Linked DNA regions of Rattus norvegicus. The protein of the gene in region 1 interacts with the protein of each later gene in a pairwise test. Links are inferred from orthologs where the notes say so. Each region holds a gene or a part of one and is shown in the gene's direction. Other genes may lie near its edges.

Evidence for each region. The genes of interacting proteins can lie anywhere in the genome.
Region 2: the proteins of Agtrap (region 1) and Ap3m1 interact in binary tests that used the Homo sapiens proteins (3 or more experiments, as listed by UniProt). The two-hybrid records come from large-scale screens. The link is inferred for Rattus norvegicus from reciprocal best matches to the Homo sapiens genes AGTRAP and AP3M1.

The regions. Positions count from the first base shown.
Region 1 is NC_086023.1:163,792,161-163,795,719, reverse strand, and holds part of Agtrap (type-1 angiotensin II receptor-associated protein), read left to right. Parts: intron 1-200; coding exon 201-306; intron 307-805; coding exon 806-1,001; intron 1,002-2,097; coding exon 2,098-2,216; 3' UTR 2,217-3,559. UniProt on the Homo sapiens protein: Appears to be a negative regulator of type-1 angiotensin II receptor-mediated signaling by regulating receptor internalization as well as mechanism of receptor desensitization such as phosphorylation.
Region 2 is NC_086033.1:3,294,982-3,299,061, forward strand, and holds the start of Ap3m1 (AP-3 complex subunit mu-1), read left to right. Parts: upstream 1-1,236; 5' UTR 1,237-1,263; exon of another isoform or gene 1,264-1,508; intron 1,509-4,080. UniProt on the Homo sapiens protein: Part of the AP-3 complex, an adaptor-related complex which is not clathrin-associated. The complex is associated with the Golgi region as well as more peripheral structures.

The DNA.
Region 1 (3,559 bases):
AAGGTATCTCATTCCAAACGGTGGAAAGGTTGGAGTGGAGGAGTCACATGGTCAGATTCACACACTGCTTGCTATTTCAAGAACTGCCTGCAGGGGGCAGGAGTGACACAGAAGACCTGTGGCTAAGACCCTGGAGCAGGGGAAGGAACTGGGAGGGGTGGGCAGCTCAAAGCGGTGACTGATAGTGTCTCTCTATGCAGGGGCTGCTTGGCGTTCTCAGGCTCCTATGCTTGGGGCAACTTCACTATCCTGGCCCTGGGTGTGTGGGCTGTGGCCCAGCGGGACTCTGTTGATGCCATTGGCATGGTGAGTTGGCGGTGGGGAGGTGGCTCCATCCGTGGGCCCCTCATCTGCCCCAGTCTTCTCTCTTCCTCACACCCCATCTTTTTCTGTTCTAAAGCCCTGCACACGGCAAGCCTAGCCAGGCCAGCTACACAGCGACCCACCTCTGCTGTTGTCCCCCCAAGACAGACATGGGGGGAGGTCACAGAACCCCAGTGTCTCCTTAGGAGAATTACAAAGGGGTTTGTTTCCCTTGTTTTCTTGCAGCGAGACCAGATGTTATGGGCTCCAAGGAAGTGTCCCTCTCAGAAATTCTGGAGATAGGCCCCTCATGATCTCAATGGCAGGAGATGGGGGTGGGGAATTATGGGGCAACAGGTTAGAGCCAGACTCTTGTGTCCATGCTCCTAGACCATGCAGGTGTCAGTCACAAGATGCCGGTCACCAGCCTGGTGTGTGTGAGGGAAACTTGGGGTCTGGTTGGGTGTCAGTGTCCGTGATCCTGTGATGGTGTTCCTTGCAGTTTCTTGGTGGCTTGGTTGCCACCATCTTCCTGGACATTATCTACATTAGCATCTTCTACTCAAGCGTTGCCGTTGGGGACACTGGCCGCTTCAGTGCCGGCATGGCCATCTTCAGCTTGCTGCTGAAGCCCTTCTCCTGCTGCCTCGTCTACCACATGCACCGGGAGCGAGGGGGTGAGCTCCCGCTCCGCTCGGGTAAGTCCCACTCCACCCCGCCTGCCCCCGGCCCAGCCACCAGTCTGGTGTGACTTCTTCCTGTTGTCAGGCAGACTTGGTGGCCCTCCCTCAGTCCAGAGTACAAGTGGAGGCGTGGAGTTGCTCAGCTCGCTGTGGCAGCAAGGAGCCTCTGCTGCGGGGCTGCAGATGGCTGTGGGGACAACTCCTTCCTCCTGTTTCCACCCAGCCCTGCCTCTGGAGGTGTGCGCTCCTGCCATGTGGGGCGTACCCTTTCTGAGCAGGCAGGCCAGGGAGCCCTGTGTACCAGCCTTCTAGACTCTGGCTCAGCCCACGCTGTCCTCTTTGGTGGCGGGCCAAGCCATTTTCCTGCCCTCTCTGACCCTGCTCTCCTGTGGGAGCTGGGTGTGGTCTCCAGGTGACCTGAGGATCCCATGAGAGAGTGCTGAGCCAGTGCCAGAGTGGCCTACGGCTGCCCATTCTGGTTTATCTCTGTGCTCACCTAGACCTGCCCGGGTGTGAAGGGATCAGACAGGAGAAGGAAGGTCCACTGCTCCTGGGACTTGTCCATGGTCTCAGGGCAAATATACAGAGGGAGAAATGTGAGAGACACAGGTGCCTTCTGTCCTGCTCTGTACTCTCAGCCCCAGCCTTCTGGGTACAGCAACTGTGTCAGGCCCTGTGGCTTCTAGAAATGGTGATTTATATGGGTCCTAGCGCCTGGCAGACAGCAGGAAGAAAGTCTGTGGGCTCAGGACTGACCCCCTCCTCAGGTACCTGAGCGTGTGCTTCCGGGGCAGATGTGACACAGTAGCCATTGACCACAGGAGCTGCTGTTTAGGTTGGACCCCAGTGTCATCTGCTTCATGCCACAGGGTCTTAAATCAGCCGGTCTCTCTGACCCTCGCATTTCTCTCATCTGCAGAGCCACCCATACCGATGCTAGGCTTGAGTGGACGCTGCTTGGTAAAGGCCTGGTGTCTGGGCTTCTGCCACTGCCCATTGTCCTTGGTATCATGATGCCAAACACTAGCCATGGCAGATGGTGGATCTGTCTGTGCTTAGCAGAAGGCCCCATGGTCTCATTTTCTCTATCCACTTGTTCCCTGTCCTCTAGATTTCTTCGGACCTTCTCAGGAACATAGTGCCTACCAGACAATTGACTCGTCAGACTCACCTGCAGACCCCCTTGCAAGCCTGGAGAACAAGGGCCAAGCTGCCCCCCGGGGGTACTGAAGCTGTCCCTGGCCGTCCTGGGGCCCAGCAGGATGCTTGTCACCTTCTTTACTGGACCTACAATGGGGTATCCTCCATTCCCTGCCACAGAGGTGGCCTGAGTCATGTGCCCTCGGAGGTCCCAGCTGAGAAGAGCCCAGTCCTAATTCTCCATGCTGCCCCTCCATTCAAGACACCTGTTAACCCCTGGGCTAGAACTGTGGTTGGTTTCTTCCCCTCCTCCCCATCACTATAACACACAACCGCCGAGCTGTGCAGAGTGTTCAGGGCCATCCAGGCCTTATGGGCCAATGATCACTGCCTCTCAGGCTACCCCAAGGTGACCCAGCCCTTCTGGAAGCTCTGTGAGCTTGTGGTCCTGCTCAGCCTGTTCTGCACAGGAGCCAAGTCCCTGTGCCTCTCAGTGCCTCATGACAGTGCCTGAGAACCCCAGGCCCAGATGCAGTAGGTCTGTCTGCAGAGGAGCCCTGACATTAAAATGCAGGGCCTCTGGGCCTGCACTAGGTTCCAGCCATGTTTGTGCTCCGAGCTGGGACCCACCCTGCCGTCTGGGTGTGACTTCGCCCTAGACTCAGTTGCAGGTGGAACATAGTTTCAGCCACCCATTATATCAGCCAAATGGGGTGGCAGAGGAAGTGCTGGTCGGTGTGGCATGTAGACAGACATCTATCCTCTGATTCTAAGTGACTAATTTCACTGCCTCTGATCCTGAACCATGAGGCAGGGCATGGGTGGCTTCCTCTAGCCTCTGCGTTCTGACCACAGTCGACTGCCTCCTGAGGTGCCAGCGCTCCCACTCTTACTCACCGGCAGACGTCTGGGGACAGATACTTGAAGACTTATGGGGAGCCGCAGGCTGAGGTGAGAGTCCTGAAAGCACTCTCTGCACACGAGACAGGCCGGGAGGCTGAGTGACAGCATCATTGGTGGGGTCACTGCGTCCATCTGCTGCGTCAAACACAATCCCATGCAATCAGCACCTAACCCAGACCTGGTTGGCATCCACACTGAGCCCAGTGTGAGCAGAGTGAGGAGCGGTAGCTGTGATTTGTTTAGGCTGAGTGCAGCACAGTGTAAACAAGAGCTGGGGCCCAGAGACTCAGAGGCTTAGAGGCTCAGCCGCAGGTAAAGGAGTCTTCTACTGAGCGTCACGATGTGTGTTTGGTCCTTGGAACCGACTTGCGAAAGTTATCCTCTGACCTCCACACTCTTTGTCATGGTTTGAGGTTTTACACACACATACAAACACACCACAAACAGATAAATGTAAAAACAAACCCAGAATATTAAAAACGTGCCTGGTGGGTGGTTAATGCCAGCACTTGGGAGGCAGAGGCAGGTGA
Region 2 (4,080 bases), on another chromosome or scaffold:
AACGCGCCGGACTTTATACTTATTAGGAAGAAATTTCTTTTTAACAAACGGCTTTTTATAAGTGAAAGTCGCAACACCAATTACATGTGCGTCAGGTATTGGGAGAGCTCTCCATTCCTATCAAATATGCAAAGGGAAAAAAAAGAAAAACAAACAAGAACTTTTCTAACCAATTAGCCAAATGCTACCCTAGCAAAGCCTCTGAGGTGAATTGGGGGTCCCTGGGGCGAGGGGGTCTCCAAAGATAATTTCAGAGAGCTGACAGAAAAGGTCAAAACGCTCTGCAACGCCTACTGAAAAAATTCCAAGAATGTTATCTTTTACCAGGGTCCAGGAGGCGCCGGGCGCCTTCCCGCTAAATACCCTAGGAAAGGATGCAGCTCCAAATAGGTCCTTTAGGGTCGCGCTAGCGCGGCCCGCGAAGGCTCGCACGTGGCGCCAGAGGAAGACTCAGCCCCCGGACCAGGTGCTCTGATTGGTCAATGGCTGCCAGGGCCGAGTATGCACCTGAGCAGAGTCCAGAACCAGAGGGCACTGAGGGGAACAGCAGCCACGCGGGCAACTCCCCGAGCTGCAGGTCCTGCGGGTTGGCCCCACGAACGCAGTCACCATCCGGCTGCGCCAGCCCACGTGGGCCTTGGCTCGCTGCAAGTGCCTTCTCCCTCCTCCCCCACGCAGGGTTGCTCTCACCTCAGCGCTTCTGGCGCTTCCACCTTGAGCTTCTTGGGCTTCGGCTCGTCCGCAGCTGCCATCTTCGCACTCTCACCGCGGTTTGGCTCTGCCGCGCGTCCCGCCCCTCAGCCCGGTGGCCCCGCCCCTCTGCTCGTCCCCGCCCCCTTTCCACTAAGCCCCGCCTCCCTGAACTCCGCCCAATCCGTGACTCTGGTCTGTCACCATTGGCTCTACGCGCGTCTGAAGTCCCGTCCCTCCAGGACCTCATTTACTACGGTAAGGGACCCAAAACGCAGTTAGGCTGCGGGTGAGCGCCTGCGCTCAGGGAGTGCCAATCTCCCTGTTCCTCCAGACCCTGAGTAATGTGGAAGATTCAGAGCCTCAACCTCCGGAGACACCGTGCCTCTCGCTGAACGCCTTTCCGCTCGTTGTTTCTTTCTAGTCCCGCTGACCTCCTCGGCGCCTCGGAGGCTGCTAGTCAGGCAGTGTGTTGGGCACTCCAAGCGCGGGGTCCTCGCGGCTTTCTCTGCTGCTTCAGCTTCGGTTCAGAGAGGACCCGGCACCGAATCACTGACTCGCCCAGGTGTCGGGGTGAGTGTGAGGGCGGGGAGTCTCCGGGTTGGAGACATCTCAAAAGCCGGGGAACAGACTGCATAGCTCCGGCTCGGGACTCTCTCTGGGGCTCCAGGAGTGTCCCTGCTGCTGTGCACCAGGGCCGCGCCTTCCCCCTCACACCCGGGCTTCCTAGTCAGCTGGGCCGGAAGGGAGCGGTGCACCTGCCACGTAGGGTTCTCGGACCCTGGACTCCAGGCGCGAGAAATGACATCTACAGTGAGGTGGGGTACCGACGACTTGAACTTGTCAGCCCCCAGGTTTGGCCGTGGAGGGCAAATCCCCCGATGACGCTAAGAGAACGCTTTCTTTATAGGGTGGTGCCTGGACGAGCTAGCCTGGGATGGGGAGACTGTGAGAAGGGTGTAGCAGCTTCTCACGAGACAGGTGACAGGGCTGTAAACGGAAAAGGCGGCTTGGAGTATGGAAGCGTGATGAGTGGATGAGTGGATGTCATGGATTTGTTTAGTACTGAAGCTTTAACTTCCTGGTTGAGAAGTCGGGTCACTCGAAAAGCTTTTTTTTTTTTTTTTCAGCATTTATTTGAGATTTTGGCTTGGAAATACATTACACAGAAGAAAGGAATTTTCTGCAAGCAAATATATAAATCTCCTTCCTTTGTATTGAAAAAAGAAAATGTGCCCCCTTTGTTTTTAGAGAGGACAGGACCTTTACCTTCCCACTGCTATTACCTTCTGTTTCTCAGTGCCTTCTGTCTTTTAAACTTTATTTTTGCATTTACTTGTTTGTTGTATTGTGTGGCATGCCACAAAACACATGTAGTAGAAGTTAGAGGACAACTCCTGGGCTACAATTCTCTCCTTCCACTATGAGGATCTTAGGGATCAAACTCAGGTCCTTAGGCTTGATAGCAGACACTTTTTTTTTTTTTTTTTTTTTTGATGAGCCATTTCAGCCTCCTTTTCCTACTTGCTGCTTCTAGCTAAGAACCATACTGCAATGTCGTTGCCAACATCCTACTGAGTTATCACCAAAATTACTTTAGCCAAGATCGCCGATGTCCATTTGACATCCAATACGACAACCATATATTCTTGGTATGGATTTCAAAAAAAAAAAAAAAACAAGTCTTGGAGCTGGAGAGATGGCTTGCCAGTTAAGAGCACTAGGTGCACTTTTGGAGGACCCAGGTTCAAGTCCCAGCCCTCACTCAGTGACTAACAACTGTCTGTAGTTCCAATGCCACGGGGATCCTACTTCCTCTTCTGGCTTTTCTGGGCACTGCGCACACAATGCACAGATAGACATGCAGATAGAGCACCCTTACAAATAAAATAAAAACTTTAAAAAAAAAAAAACCTACTTGCGAAGCAACAAAAGTTAAACCCTTCTTTAATGCCTAAGTCATAGATGTACTTTAAATAGGCATATGTTACTTTTTTTTTTTCTAATTTGTGTGACCTCGGGTGGGAGATGATGGGGTAGAGATGGCTTAGTAGCTAAGAGCACTTGCTGTCCTTACAGAGAACCCAAGTTCAGGTCCCATTACCCACATTGGGTGGCTCTTAACAGCCTATAACTCCAGGGAATGTGGTGTACTCTTCTGGCCTCTGCAGGTCCCTGCACGCACATGGCATATACTCACAGAAGTACATACAAAACTACATCCAGAAAGTATTGGGTTCTGACCTGCCTGAGGTGGGTGCTGGGAACTGAACTCTGTTCCTCTGCTGAAGCAGTGCATGGTTTTAATCCCACCCCCTGTATCTCCAGCTTCAGGAGATCCACCAGCCACTCCTGGCCTTCACGGGTCTGCACTTTAAACATTCACAAACCCACAGCAAATACACATAATACACATTTAAATTATAGGAAAAAAGACTTATCAAACAATCTGTAGGGAACAATATGACTGGCCGAGGGGGGAAAGACTGGAAATTTAAAAGATCACTGGTAGCCAGAAATCATGGCATATACCTTTAATCCCAGCACTTGAGTGGCAGAAGCAAGCAAACTCGTGAGTTGGAGGCCAGCCTGGTCGTCAGAATGATTTCCAGGACAGCCAAGGTTACACAGAGAAACTCTGTCTTGGAAAAAAAAAATAAAAGAAAGGAAAATTGTAAAACCTTTTTTGAGACTTATTTTTATTATTTTTTGTATTATTTGGGGTTTATTTGTATTATTGTATGTGTTTGTATGTGAGTGTGTATACATGACTGCCGTGCCTATGGAAACAAAGGGCAGTAGATCCCTGGAGCTAGAGTTATGATCTGCCTGATGTAGGTGCTATGATTGAATCTGGGTTGGTTGGGTTCGGGGAAGGGGGGAGTTGTCTGGGAGGGGGGGTGTTTTGTTTGGTGTTTTTGTTGTTGTTTGGTTTTTCAAAACAAGGTTTCTCTGTGTGACCACTCTGGCTGTCCTGGAATTTGCTTTGTAAACCAAGCTGGCCTGGAACTCACAGATATCCCCCTGCCTCTTCCCTTGAAGCTTCAACACCAAGCCCAGCAGAATCTGGGTCTTCTGTAGGAGCATGTTTAACATGCTCTTAACCAGTGAGCCATCTCCAATCTGGAAAAAAAAAACAAAAAATAAAACAGAACACTTGTGTTCATCTTTTTAAATCCTCACAGCTTGACTTCTTTGTAGCATTCTTGTAGAAAGATACTAAAAATCTCCCACGTCCTTCCCCATCTTAAAAACCCTGCTTCACTTCCATCTTAGGGTCTGTCTGTCTGTCTAGTTCCACTTCCTTGACGCATCTGCTCCGCAAATACTGGCTTTTCTTTCATAAATGTTTCTTGCTGTGTTCATAATCTCTTTGAATGTAATTCTTTA